Linked DNA regions of Diceros bicornis minor. The protein of the gene in region 2 binds, or shares a complex with, the protein of the main gene of each other region. Links are inferred from orthologs where the notes say so. Each region holds a gene or a part of one and is shown on either strand. Other genes may lie near its edges.

Region 1 (7,346 bases), on a different chromosome or scaffold from region 2:
AGGGTAAATGCTGAATAAATAGAACATTTAATAAGTCCTAAGAATTCAGAGGAGGTAAAATCATTTTGGTTAAGGTAGAAGAACAGCATAAACAAAACTAAAAAGAGCAGAATGACTATCACCTGTATAGAACAAAAGGGCGCTAGTGAGACTTGAGCAGAAAAATGTTTACTAGGGAGATGTTCCAGTTACTATTGCTGCATAACAACTCCCAATTTAGAGGCTTAAAATAATGATCATTTTATTATCTCTCACGGTTTCTGTGGGACAGGAATTGGGGAAGAGCTCAGCTGGGTGGTTCTGGCTCAGGATTTCCTATGTGGTTGCAATCAGACAGTGGCTGGAGCTGGAAAAGTTGGGGGCTGGAGAAGCCGGGGGCTGGGTGGGTACCTCTCACTCTCTTCATCTAGGCTTGAGGCTTCTCCACATGATTTTTCCTATAGGTTAGTTTGGGCTTCCTCAGAGGGTAGGTATTTGGAGAGGGCCAGTGTCATATGTTGGGTTCCCCAGGAAGTAGACTCTGAGATGAAAACAGCAGTCAGGACATATATTGGGGAATGATATTGGGAGCAATATCTGTGGAAGGGTGGAGAAGGAAGCAGGATTAAGCAGTGGGAGAAATTGAATGGCAATGTAGTCCTAACAAAGGCCTCAGCCAACCCGCGGCGGGTGCTCTGGAGCTGGGATCAATGACCCTTCAGAGTTTGTCTAAGTTGGGCAAAAGGGCTGGCTGGGCCTTTATATCTCTGCGGTGATCACTCATTGGATGTGGGCTGCCCCTAGAAGAGGGTATATATAACCCTGGGCAAGGCAATTTTCTTCAGCCGAGGTAATCCCCTTCAAGGCAATCCCCTACAGCTGAAGGTCATCTTCCAGCAGTACTCCCAGTACTAGGGGGAATAAGTCCTTCATTCCTGAAGAAATTTCTGGGAGATGCATCACAGTGTTCACCACAGCCCTGACAGGATCTGTGGCTTTCAGTAGAGGGACTGGGTCCTTTTGTAACCACCTGGCACTGAGGAAGTTGGGGAATAAATGCTCCCACCTCACCATCCTCCAGACTTCCGATCTCCTGCCAATGCCTCTCCCCCATGTACCAAACCCAGCAAGTCATAGGACTCTGGGTTTTGAGTCACAGAGCAGGGTGGATGGAGAAGGGTGAAGAGTGGATCTGGAGGGGCAACAGAAGATGTTCAGCAGCACAAGATGAGTTTAGTTTTTGAACGTTAAGGACATGTTGAGGGGCCGGCCGGTGGCTTAGTGGTTAAGTGCCCGCGCTCCGCTACTGGCGGCCGGGTTTGGATCCCAGGCGTGCACCCACGCACTGCTTGTCTGGCCATGCTGAGGCGGCCTCCCACATACAGCAACTAGAAGGATGTGCAACTATGACATACAACTATCTACTGGGCCCTTGGGGAGAAAAAGGTAAAAAAAGGAGGAGGATTGGCAATAGATGTTAGCTCAGGGCCAGTCTTCCTCAGCAAAAAGAGGAGGATTAGCATGGATGTTAGCTCAGGGCTGATCTTCCTCACACACACACAAAAAAAGGACCTGTTGAGTTAAATAATATCCTGATGCATGCTTCTTTTTGGTGGATTAAAGCAGTGTTCTGAACCACCCTCTCATTCATTCCACTCCTTGCTCCTTTGCTTTCATCCACCTCCTAATTACTTAACCTCACTCTTCATTCTACCATTTAAACCCTGCCTCATTACTTCAGCTTCAAACATGTTCTAAGTTCATGAGTTGGGCTTTTCTCCTGACTATATTTCATTTTTTCAGCCTTCATTTAGCTCCATACACCCATCTACAAGCCTGGTAATGTTCTTCATCCAGCCTCTTCTCAGGCACCTTTCTTTCTGTGCACCAACCCTATGGGGAAATCTTTCCTCCCCCAGCATTTTATTTATCCTGGTTTCTTGATTAAGACTGGAAAGAGGTAAGTTTCAAGGTACTGAGATAATACAGATGAGAGATGATATGAGGGTGGGGACAATGGTTATGGGGAGAAGGCCCATTTTGGTGGATCCCTGTCTAAGCTTACTATGGTGTACTTTCTTTTTTTTTCTTTTTTTAAAGATTTTATTTATTTTTTACCCCCAAAGCCCCAGTAGATAGTTGTATGTCATAGCTGCACATCCTTCTAACTGCTGTATGTGGGACGTGGCCCCAGCATGGCAGGAGAAGCGGTGTGTCAGTGCGCGCCCGGGATCCGAACCCGGGCCACCAGCAGTGGATCGCGCACTTAACCGCTAAGCCATGGGGCCGGCCCTATGGTGTACTTTCTGAAGCTACTATCCAACGGTAAAATGAATTCATGGCCTTTTCTCACCTTCATTCTTTCCAGCATACTCTCCCATTCTGTCTAATGTGTTCCAATACAAAAGCCCTACTATTTAATCCCAATAATCATCTCTTCTTTGAAGCTCTTTGGCTTCCCTACATTTTTTCCGAATTTACCTCCTTCTTTTCTACCTGCTCCTCAGTTTCTTTGATTACTTTGGTAGAGAATCCCTCTCTCCTCTCTTTCCCCTCAACCATATTTTGATCTCTTCTGCCTGATAGTCTTCTTATTATACATATTCTCTGTGGACATCTTATTTTTTTCTCATGGCCTTAACTATCACTTGTATGTGCCTGACTCCTAAATCTGAATCCCCTTCCTTGAACTTTCTCTGGGATTCCATTCCAGATTCCAGACCCTGCAGTGGCTGGTGGGATCAGAACACAGGACTTCTTCCCAAGCTGGAACTAAAATGTGCTTTCAGGTTTCTTTTTAGCCAGTTTTTTCCTTCCTTTGTTTTTTAACTCTTCCTTGAACCGTTCCTCAATCCATTTTGGTTCAGTTTTCATATCATCCTGGGTTTCTTTAGTCTGTATTAAAGCAAATAAACAACAAACAAACTTAACTAACTCCAAATTGCCCTCCAGAGATTTAATTTTATACCAAAATCTCTCTCTTTGTTTTCATCTTCACAAACTTTCCTCTTTGAGAATTCAAAGGAAACACTTGGCAAGGGGAAGACAATCACTATTTTGTTTTCTTTTAAAGTATTTAACATGCTAAATACCAAAGATTTACATTTTAAATGTAAGCCTATTTGAGGAGCTGTGTGTCTCTGTAGCGGGGTAGGAGGGGGTGGTGCTGGAGTGGTGAGGAGTCTGTTCCGGAAACCCTAAGGTCTCTAACCTGAGAAACTGGAAAAATATCAAATAAACACTCAGCTCTGAGAGGGGCTGGACTAATTCACCCACTTCCTTCCCCAAATCATTTGGAATTTCTTTGGGTATTTATCCTGAGAATGGGATAAGGGAATGAAAAGGACAGAATTTAAGCAAGAACTAAGAAAAGTTAGACTTTCAAGACATAACTTAAAAAATTATTCTTATCCCGCTCTTTTCTCTCTCACATTGACAGACTTTTAAAAGCACGTTTTACCTACAGATTTCCATGGAAACCACCAAAGGGAAATTAGAAAGGAGAGGCATTGCAGTACCATTTCTGTGCGAATTGATGTTTGATTTTCATTAGGCTAGCACTGTTTTTCCTCCAAGGTTTTAGTGTTTATTAAAGCAACAATTATCTCAGTAACAATTCCTCCAGGGTAGTTTTATTTAAAGGTGCCTAACCTATATACTTCACCCAACTGCTTTCAAAATCGTTCAGTCCTTCATGACGGAAGTTAACACACATCTTTATACCAGCTTGGTTCTGCACCAGCAGCCTGTCCCCGGCAGGGCAGAGCCACGAAGGCATGCTTTTTGTGTGATGTGCACGTTGCTGTGCACCTTGGCTGCAAAGCAGGAGCTGTGCTTTAAAATGGCTAAGAGCCAGTACATGCCCTGTGCTGAATTATCAGTCACGCAACCTGGCCACGCAAGAAGGATGCTTTCTCCCTCCCGTTAACACTAAAACGAGAAAAAAACCCAACCAACAAATCCAACAGGCATCAAAACCTTCCCTGCGCCTAGGGAAAGCGCGCCAACCACACAAAGAAAAGAGGGGGGCTACTGGGATTCAAAATCATTTCCCCGGGACGAACACCCTCCTGGACCTATCGGAGTTAACTGCGCGCTTGGTCGTAGCCAATAGACACAGTGTTTCTGGTTCAGGTCCGCCCTGAGGACGGATAGACTTTTATGCAGTCCAATGGAAGAGTGTGATGCTGGAGCATTAACCAATACATTCGGGAGGTGGGTGGAGTGTAGGCCAGGGGGTTGGCGGTGCCGTGTCATGGAGGCTCAGTCTCTGAGCAGCCATTGAAGGGGAAGGAACTGCGGTGTGTGTGTGTGTGTGTGTGTGTGTGTGTGTATGCGCGCGCGCGTGTGAGTGCGCGCGCGAGTGTGTGGACAAGGAGGTGGGGGCAGCTGAGTTAAGAGTCCCAACTCCTTGGACTCCATTTGATATTCTCTTTTTTCTCCCCCACACCTATCTGGTGGTGGTGGGCGTTTATATTTGCGTTTCTTTTCATTCATTTCCAAATCTTTTAAAATTTTAGGGTTGGGGGTAGTGGGAAAGGCAGGAAAGGGTAAAGGAGGAGAGTAGTAGCAGAAGAGCAGGAGGAGGACATGGAGATGAAGAAGAGGATTAACCTGGAGTTAAGGAACCGAGCCCCGGAGGAGGTGAGATGACTCAGCCCCCTCCCCTTCTCCACTAGCCCCGTATTGGGAGGATCGGGTTTCTGGGGGTCCCGGTGGGTGTGTGGGGAGGGGTAATGAATTAAGACTCACTTGGGGTTAGGGTTGGGGGGAAATATTTAATTTCAAGTTTTAAATCATTAAAATCTTTTACTTAAAATGGCGAAGGGTTTAAGTTTCTAGGGGCGTTTTGTGTGTGCATGGGGGCTTAGCCCTTTTCGCCTCTCTTCGAGTCAGGCGTCCTGGCCTCGTGGGGGCGGGAAGCGGGGTGTTGGGGCCCGCTCCGCCGCTGCGCCCCCCATGTTCCTCCTCCTGGGGGCCGGCGGCGTGGGCGCGACCCCCCAGTCCCGCTTGCCCCTGCCGCAGCCATCGTTGCCTGAGAAGTTAGTCCAACTTTTCTGCAGTGCTGCCAACTCTTTTATTTAGGCGGGGGGGTGCCCCCGGCCTCGAGGCCCTTGGGCGTCCGACGACGTCGCGCCCGGCGCGGGCTGGGGTCGCTCGCGGAGTCCGCGGACCGCCCGCTGCCGGCTGCGCCCACTCCCCCGGGAAGCGGCGCGCGCCGACCGCCGCCAGGCGGAATCTGGGTCAGCGGCCGGTTCTCCGGCCGTGGGGAAGTTTTGGGACTCGTCGCAGTGACCAGAGGTGGGGAGGGGACGCGAGGCGCAATCCCCTTCGTCCCCCGCGGTATAATGAAATTCGGCGTGTCGTGTCGTGGTGGCTGCAACTCCGAATTTGGTCCCGGGAGACGGTTTCACAAAACTCAACAAATGGGTCGTAGTAGTTCTGCGCTTTAAAGATGGGTTCGGCGAAACGAAATGATGCGCTCTCGCTGCTGTCGCCTTAGTTAAAGAGACGGGGTTGGGAGGGGCCACGTGAGGCGGGGTCGCGGTCAACTTTTCAGGGGTCGGGCAGAAGGCGTTTCCGCCTCCTTTTCGAGGGCGCCTCCTCAGCTTCCCCCAGCCATCCCCGCCCCGGGTGGGGGCGCTAAGGGAACACGGGCTGGGAGGCGACCCCTTTTTCCCTGGGGAGTCTCCGCCCCGCGTGGGGTTTCCCGTTGGTCGGAGCGTAAGGTCGAGAGAGCGGGGCCCACGGCCAGCAAGGAACCTTGCACTTCTGGAAGCAGAGGAAAGCGTCAAGAGTCTTACTAATTAATTGCGGCCTCTGAAATAAACCTTAGAATTGGAATGACAGAGATATAAGTTTTTTTCAACAAGGGTGGAGGTGGTGCCTGTGCATACCAGCATTGGGGACGAGTGGGGTCTGTCCGGTGGGCTGCGGCGGCGTGCAAACTGGGAACCCAAGATCTTTATGTACTTTTCAAAAAAAGTCTGTTTTCCTGAAATTGGCAGGGGGCAGGGAGGAGGAAACAGCCGCTGCTGTCATCCCAGAGAGAACTTGAAGTTTTCTACGGCCTTCTCTTTAGGGGCTTCAGGAAAAAAACAAATCAAACTTAAAAAGCTGCCTCTCAGGAGCACACATTTAGAATGCTTTTTTATGTTTTGGGTTGGAAAAGCGGATTTGTGTCTCCCCCGCCTTCCCCCATTCTTTTACCTACCCTATCCGTAGTAATTTCCTTGCCAGTTTTGGGGAGTGCCGGATGTTGCCTTTTTGCAGCCTCTCCTTCCTCTCCTGTGGTGTAATAACGGTCTCTCATATCTATATAGCTCTTTACAGTTTACAAAGCACTTTTCTTGTTTGTTATTTACTTTTGTCTTTCGGACAGACTTGTGAGGTGGATTGTATTGTATTGTTCTAGAATCCAAATTAGCAAACGGAGTCTCAGGGCAATGAAGTTATTTAGGAAGAACTGGTTTTCTGACACCAAATCTAGTGGCCCTCTCTCCTCCATTCAGCTCAAGTAGGAGTCAGAAGACTTGGAGTGGAGGCACGGCTGTGCCACATAATAAGTATGCGGTCCTAGGCAAGTCATCCTTACCCTCTGGGCCTTTGCTGCCTCATCTCTAAACAGGAGAGCATGATGCCTTCTCTGCTTACTGAAATAATTATGTCCAAGTCATATTCAAATAGAGAAGGTGGCATCCCTTGATGCTAATTTTTAGCCCTCAGAATACCTCAAAAATATTTTTGCATTGGGAAAGGAGAGCCAGAGTCTCCTGTCTCCTCCTTAAGATTAAGTCCATTTAGGCCCACGCCAGAAACTTTGGTTCTACAACTCTGACCTAACAGAGGATCCATCTCCCCCTTCCCAAGAATGGGGAGAAGTCACCAAAATGCTACCAGAGTGGCAGGGAGAAATAACATTTTGTCAAGGATGTATTGTTCTGGGTGATATTGTTTGGCCTCAATATTAGAACAAATAACATTCGAAAGCTGGACTGTCTCAGAAGGAGCTTTCTAACATTTCTTCCTGAAGGATAACAAGGTATTTTTGAGTTATGGTGGCATTTATCAACCAAAGATAAGGGCGTTTAAATTGAAAAAGTGAATAAAACAATTTCCTTTCGTCTCCCTGCTGTTTTGGGCAGCTCGCTTGAATCCTTTCCCAGTAGCCTGGGTATCCCCTCAGTGCATAAATATATGCCCTGATGTTGAGAATCCTTCTTATCATGGTCAGAAACAAGTTTCACATGGGACCTTTTTCAAAGTTTTATTTTTTATGTGACAGTGATTTGAAGCAGGCATTGAACTTCTTAGTCCAAGTTTAAATTTAAAAGGTTAACTTTATGATGACTTTAGACTGTGTTTCA
Region 2 (7,612 bases):
GAAGGAGATCCAGATGGAGAAGCGAATGTCTGCAGGGACACTTACAGGGGCAGTGTCTGGCTGTGCCCACTGGTGATTCGTTTCTAGGGAAGAAGCCAATGTATAGGGCATCAACCCTAGGGTAGTCCATCTCCCTTTTGGCCTACAGGGTCTTCTGAAGGTGGAACTCAGGTTGCAACCTCTGGTCTGTACCCCTCGCAGCTGTTGGGAGCAGGGAGTGGGTTCCTAGTGTTACTTGGCACAGACCCCAGTTATGGTACATACCATCCAGCTGGCTACTGCTGGTAAACTGACTGGTGGAGGAGAGCCCAGCAATACCACTGTCAAAGCTGGTGCTGGTACCCATCCGACTTTCAATGTAGACACTCTTCTTCAAGGAGGTGGACAGCTCCTCCTGGAGGGGCCCAGGGAGAAGATAAGTACAAAACTTTCCAGAGATTTGTCCCTCTATCCCCATCTCTATGAACACCAACGCTTCACCTCTTGGAGGCCTCCATTTAGCAGGGTCAGTTTCTTCATTTCTTCCTGCTGGATCTGTTTGCTGTCTAGCCAGATTACCTCATTGGAGAGCACGGGCTTCAGATCAGGGGTTGGATGAAGCTGGCCTTGGAGGCTTTTGAAGATCAGAGCCAGGGACCGGGGCAGGATCCCTCCATCCTTGACGGTACCTGGAGGTATGTGAATGACAGATAGCTGAGGCAAGTGCTGTTCCCCAACTCAGAGCATCAAAAGGCAAAGACAACACCATTACAGGCCAGTCAGGAATCCTATGAGGCCTACTAACCTTGAATTGTGTGGGTTTTCCCTGAGTTGGTGACTCCATATGTATAGATGAGCCAATTCTGCCCTTTGAGTACGTCCTTTACCATCTCCTTCACGGTCAGGTTGAAGAAGGATGCCTGTCCCACTTCTGGCCCAAAGATCTAGAGACAGACCCAGTTTCTCAGAGGCCCATTCTTCATCTCCCACTTGCCTCCTGTGCAGAGCCAGCAGATACATCCCTTTTTGGGTGGCTGGCTCTGGAGACTACTCAAGCAGCTTCTTCCTGCAGTGCTGCCAGCTGCTCCCTAAACACTGCAGACTCAACCACTCTCTGCCAGTCCATCTTTCATCCAAATCAACAAATACTTAAGGAATGCTGTCCACTAAGTCCGATGCTGCACACACAATGGGACAACATAATGGTCACAAGTGTGGACTCTGGAGATGGATGGATCTAGATTCAAGTCCTAACTCTACCAATGACTAGCTACATGGCTTCAGCAACATTACCTTCATTGAGCCACAGTATCCTTGTCAGGAAAAATAGTGACAATAATAATAATAATAATAATGAGTTGTTGGGAATTAATTCATATAAAGTACTTGACACATTGACTAGCACACAAGGGTCCCCAAAATTGTAGACATGCATATATAAGGAACTCGTAGTGAAGTAAAAAGCTTTCCCGCTAAAGAGGGAATGAAGTACCCCCTACACGTTGGTCCCTTGTTCACAGACCAGTACCTCCGTACCTGGGAAAAGGTGAATCTGTGGGTTGCTTGTCCAATTCCCCGCTCATTGCTCTTCTGGGCAAAGGAGTCCTTGGGTGCCTGTAGAACAAGGGTCTCCACATTCTCAATATGGACACAACCCTGAGAAGGGGGAAAACACAGTTGTCACAGAAGGAAACGTTCCTGGGAACCTCTTCTGTACTGCATCATTCTACCTTGAATCCTCCCTCCTCAGAAACTCACCTGATCCTCCTGTCGTTCCAACTCTGAAGGTAACAAGGGCCTGACCCTCAGGTATACTTTCACCTTCTCTGTACTATCCTCAGATGGAACCTGTGGCAGAATTCCAGGCCGGAACTACATATTAATCTCAGCAGTTATTTAAGATTGGCAAACATAACACAGTTCCTGGTAATCACGCTAACATTCTACCTCAGATGTTTCTGTGCAGCTACTCTTTGGTTCCATAATCATTCCAACACACATGGACTTTTCCACTACTTTATCACCCTTCCCTGTCTCTTCAGTATCCTGAAAACCTGGCTTAACACACTGATTATCTGAGTTAGAACTGTTGACCGGTATGAAAATCAGCCTGTGATATTAAGGCAAAGCACAGTAGTTAGGCACCTTGGAGGCAGACACACCTGAATTTGAGTCCCAATTCCATCATTTAGTAATTTTGAGACCTTGAAAAAGTTATTTAGGGCCGGCCCCATGGCTTAGTGGTTAAGTGCACGTACTCCACTACTGGTGGCTGGGGTTCAGACCCCGGGCGCGCACTGACGCACCGCTTCTCCAGCCATGCTGAGGCCGCGTCCCACATACAGCAACTAGAAGGATGTGCAACTATGACATACAACTATCTACTGGGGCTTTGGGGGTAAAAAAAAAAAAGTTCTTGAAATTTCTTTGCCTCAGTTTCCTCATCTATAGAATGGGGTTATAATAGCACCCACCTCATTCATTCAACAGATATTTAGAGAGCTGCCTACTATGGCCCAGGGACTATGGTAGTCCGCAGTGAGGGACATTATCAAGGTTCCTGCTTTCATGAAACTTTCTCTATAAAAGAGGAGACTTCTAAGTGGAGCTGTTCTCAACCAGGGCCATTTCCCTCCCAAGGGAACTTTAGTAATGTCAGGAGAGTAGTCTTGGTTGTCACAAGTGGGAAGGAGCTACTGACATCTAGTGAGTAGAGGCCAGGAATGCTGCTAAACATCTTACAACGCACAGTACACCCCTGTATATCAAAGAATTATCTGGCCCCAAATGTTAATAATGCTGCAGCTGAGAAACCCAGCTTAGCAGAAAGAAAGGCTCCATAAATGGAAGCAATGGCTGATTTTAAAACCTGAATGTACATTCCACCTACTTGATGGCTGTATGACCCTATGCAAATTATTTAACACCTCTGGGCCTCATGGTGAAGGAGAGAGAACTATTAGCCTTTCCTCATAGGATTACCTGAGAGTATGCACTGAGGGTGTTTCATTAATGCAATGCAAATAATACTTCTCATGGACACACAACTCTACATTTTTTACTTGTCATCTCTTAATTTTGAATTGATCTCTCAGACCCTCAGGATTGCTGGTTTTTGACTTCATACTACTCTGTATGGACAACTAGTAGGCTGAGGATATCACTTTCTGCCCCCAAACTACTGAAGGGGAACAGAATATGCCACCCCAAAATGTGCCACTCTGGCAAGTGGATTATTGTGAGCTGAAAGCAATTATGATCCAGCAGACTCAAGAAAAACTTTACCTCTCCCTTAACTGTCTAAAAGATTTTACAGAGGGGGCCTGGCCCAGAAAGAGAGCTATTACCAGAGATAACTTTTTATCTGAAAGACTTATCTACATGGCAGGGCAAACATTTGATTACCAAACATCTGCTCTTATTATCTTCCTGTGAATTGCCCTCCTCCCCTTTGAAACCCCAGGTCCCTATCCCATTCCTTAGCTCAGGATGGCATCTAAGCCTCAGTTGCCTGACTGCCTGTATGTACAAAATTAAATTTGTTTTTCTCCAGTTAATCTGTCTTACGTCAGTTTAATTATTAGAACAGCCGAAGAACCTAGAAGGGTAGAAGGAAAATTTTTTCTGCCTGGGTACCCCAAGCCATTCTCCAACCAACTCCTTTACCTGCTGCTTGTCTTCCAGGGAGGTGGAGATGACAGAGCAGTCTGACAGGAGGTCCTTGCGTACCACAGACCCCAAATCCGCAGCTGTGGACTCAAACATGGGGGAGACTACGACCTCCTCATCTGATAGCAAGCCGGCTGGCGGAGAAAGGATCCCTTGCGACATGACAGCAGGGGCAGCTTAGGTCTAAAAAGAGACAAGGGTGGGTAGGGAGGAGAACCTTAGGGGACAGAGGGGCTGCAAATTCTAGGTAAGAAAAAAAAATTCCCTTGCCCCAGGACACCTTGGTCTCGCTGCCTGAATTCCCACTCCCTTTTCCCTTCAACTACCAGCAGAGGGGAAGGGGATGGGAGGAGTTAATCATTTAATCCAGCCTGAGGCAGCATTTCCGACCTCGAACAGGAATGAACAGATATCTGGCTCCAAAAGCAGAAGGCCACGATCCAAGCAGGGTGCCTTGCCCACCGGTGTTGTGGAGGTAGTGTCAGTAGGCTAGGTTCCTTCTCCAACCTCGGCCGGAGGCCCACAGTGAGGACAGAGGTATTAAGAAAACAAGGGATGGCAGCAGCACCGCTTTCTGAAAGCCTATTCCGCGAGGGCAAGAGCTGGTACTCCAGCTGGGCTCCAGCACAGCCCCACACTCACCTGAAGACGCGACACTTGGTCCTTCTCCGGTCACTCACACTCTGCCACCGAACCTTGATTTTCGCCGCCGAACCTGGACTTTCGCTGCCAGAGAGCACAACTCCGCCCACGAGGCACACCTTTTGTTACTGATACAATGTTTTAAATTACGCGCTGCGTTCGTTCGGCCAATCAGATAGCGAAGCTTGCAGCTACCAATCAGCGCAAGGAAAGGGGGCGGGCGAGGCTGGGAGACCGTTTGCTCGGGGCTTTGACTTCTCCGCTCTAATGTGGGTCCGGGTTACCAACTGTCGGAGTTTGGAGTTGGGTCGGCTGAAATCCTGCCCGCTTAACACTTTTTCTTGAACCCTAGGTATTTCTTTTCTAAGAAGCCTAAAGGAAATCCTGAGGCTTCAGCCGCCATCCTTTGTTCTTCTTTAGCACATTCCTTCCCAGGTGCGCACAAAGAGACCTGGTTTAGGGTGCTTTTTCGTCGCGCGTTGGGGTGTGGGACTCCATTTCCCAGGAGGCACCGCGAACAAACTCCCGGACTCTGCTTCCCAGAGTTCCCCGGGTTTCGGCCCTGCTAGGCTGTCTCGCCTCCGGGGTTGGAGACATCGGGGCCAAGATGGCTACAGGAACGGGCAGTAAGTATCTGGGCTGCTTTTGCGTGGAAGGCGTTTGTAGAGCGGAGGCCAGGCGCCAGATTTTCTGCCACACGCTTAGGGAGTAGGAGCAATGATTTGCCTGAGAGCCCAGGGTCTTCAGAGACCTTTGCTCGACGGTGTCGTGAAGGCCAACGGTTAGGGGCCTAGCCGTGTTGAATCTTGTGTCTCAGGGAGGCCGCGGAGATTTGAGAGAAGCAGCTCAGTGAATCCTTGTGTGTTTGGGAGCTCTGTGGGGTGAGAGATAAAGGTGCTCTAGAGACTCGGACACGCGGGTGGAGAAACGCTGTGGGCCATACGGAGTGGCCGGCATTCATTTTCTGACTAACGTTTGTGAGGCCCGGTATTTTAACCGAGAGCTTTTTGTGCCATTGGGGAAATTGGGTTTCATGCATCTCAGCCATTTTCGTGTGTTTCATGGATCGAAGAGGTCTTTTAAGCCCGACAGCTAAAGGGAAGTGGAATTACTGAGAGAAGTAAACAAGTTTTTGCGAAGGAGGCGGGGCAGTGGGGGCGGGGTAGGGGGGGTGGCGCTCGGAGTCGTGGGAAATAAGCCCTTGCGTTCAAACTGGAATAACGTATTCTTAAAACTGGGCGTTTTGGGAGAAGTGCCTTAAATATAAGGCGGTTCTCCCAAACTGAAGGGAAACTGACATTCCCCCCACGTTTTTTTTTTTGAGTAAAGCAGAGTAGACATGGCATTCGAAGAAATAAAATCTTTTGCCAGATAGAGTACAATTCGCATGCAGTCAATAGGGACCGCCTCAGTGGTTGCATTTTACTAGGAAGATGAAAATCAAGATTTGGTGATAGCTCTCTTTGTCCTTAAAAGTTGGTTGTATTGTTTTGTATTAGGCGTCTAGTCCTACCTTTGGGGCTTTTTTTTTTTTTTTTTTTTTTTTTGGTGGGGATGCTCAGTCCTGAGCTAACATCCGGTGCCAGTCCTCCTCTTTTTTTTTTTTCTTGCTGAGGAAGATTGGCCCTGGGCTAACGTCTGTGCCCATCTTCCTCTACTTTATATGAGACTCCGCCACAGCATGGCTTGACAGGTGGTGGGTTGATGTGCACCCGGGATCTGAACCTGGGAACCCTCAGGCTGCCAAAGCAGAGTGTGCACGCTTAACTGCTGTGCCACTGGGCTGGCCACTTGCCTTTGGGGCTTAGAACCACTGTCTTAGTGGTTGTCTCTAAGCCTTCTCTCATTTCAGAACACAAGCTGCTGAGTACTGGCCCCACAGAGCCGTGGTCTATCCGAGAGAAGCTGTGTTTAGCGTCTTCTGTCATGAGGAGTGGAGATCAAAATTGGTAAGGTATCTAGGATGTCTCCTTTCATGGGTCTTAGAAACTGTTGGGTATTTTTTTACACTGATGGATTCCATACTAACCTTTGAGAAGTATTTCTTTTTTAACAGCTTTATTAATTCACATACCATAAAATTAAGCCAGTATAATCACAGAATTTAGTGTATTCACAGAGTTGTGCAACCGTCATCACAGTCTAATTTTGGAACATTTTCATTACCCCTAAAAGAAACCTCTTACCCCTTAGCAGTCACTCTGCAATCTCCTCTACACCTCCCTAACATCCATCCCCCCACCCCTAGGCAACCCACTCATCTACTTTCTGTCTCTCTAGGTTGCCTATTTTGGACATTTCATGTAAATAGAATCATAATTTGTGGCCTTCTATGACTGGCTTCTTTGACTTAGTGTAATGTTTTTCGAGGTTCATCCAAATGGTAGCATGTATCAGTATTTTATTTCTTTTTATGACTAAAATAATCCACTGTATGGGTATGCCACATTTTGTTTATCCACTCATCAGTTAATGAACATTTGGGTTGTTTCCACTTGTTTTGACTATTATAATTAATGCTGCTATGAACATTCGTATATGAGGTTTTGTGCAGATGTATGTTTTCAATTCTTTTGAAAGAGTGGAATTGCTGGGACGAATGGTAACTCTATGTTTAACTTTTTTAAGGAACTGCCAAACTATTTGTAAAGGGGCCCCACTGGTTTACATTCCCACCAGCAGTAAATGAGGGCCCCAATTTCTCTGTGTGCTCCGCAACACTTATTGTCTGTCTTTTTGGTTATAGCCATACTAGTGAGTGCGAAATGGTATCTCATTGTGGTTTTGCTTTGCATATTCCTGATGACTAATGTTGAGCATCTTTTCATATGCTTATTGGCCATTTGTATATCTTCTTTGGAGAAATGTCTGCTCAGATCTTTTGGTTTATTTATCTTTTTATTATTGAGTTTTAAGAATTCTTTCTATATTTTGGACAGAAATCCCTTGTCAGATAGATGATTTGCAAATATTTCTCTTATTTTGTGTGTTGTCTTTTCACTTTCTTGATTGGTATTTTTTACAGCACAAAAGTTTTTAATTTTGATATGTCCAATTTATCTATTTTTTCTTTTGTTGCTTGTGCTTTTGGTGTCATAGTTAAGAAACCATTTACTTCTATATTTTCTTTTAAGAGCTTTATAGTTTTATCTCTACACATTTAGGTCTTTGATCCATTTTGAGTTAATTTTTGTGTATGTTGTAAGGCAGGGGTCTCTTTTGCATTTAGATACCCAGCTGTCTCAGTACCCAGTATTTGTTGAATTGTCTAGGCACTCAATATTTCTTTTTTTTTTGTGTGAGGAACATCAGCCCTGAGCTA

The links. The genes of interacting proteins can lie anywhere in the genome.
Region 1: bromodomain-containing protein 8 (region 2) and ANP32E share a complex: the UniProt entries of both Homo sapiens proteins name them as parts of the SWR1-like complex. The link is inferred for Diceros bicornis minor from reciprocal best matches to the Homo sapiens genes BRD8 and ANP32E.

Annotation. Positions count from the first base shown.
Region 1 is NC_080743.1:54,715,612-54,722,957, reverse strand, and holds the start of ANP32E (acidic leucine-rich nuclear phosphoprotein 32 family member E), read left to right. Parts: upstream 1-4,268; 5' UTR 4,269-4,569; coding exon 4,570-4,623; intron 4,624-7,346. UniProt on the Homo sapiens protein: Histone chaperone that specifically mediates the genome-wide removal of histone H2A.Z/H2AZ1 from the nucleosome: removes H2A.Z/H2AZ1 from its normal sites of deposition, especially from enhancer and insulator regions.
Region 2 is NC_080740.1:56,788,982-56,796,593, reverse strand, and holds the start of bromodomain-containing protein 8, read left to right. Parts: upstream 1-4,592; 5' UTR 4,593-4,897; coding exon 4,898-4,916; intron 4,917-6,142; coding exon 6,143-6,239; intron 6,240-7,612. Other genes in the region: kinesin-like protein KIF20A, read right to left, coding at 1-83, 265-394, 481-668, 785-923, 1,516-1,635, 1,738-1,827, 3,646-3,810. UniProt on the Homo sapiens protein: May act as a coactivator during transcriptional activation by hormone-activated nuclear receptors (NR). Isoform 2 stimulates transcriptional activation by AR/DHTR, ESR1/NR3A1, RXRA/NR2B1 and THRB/ERBA2.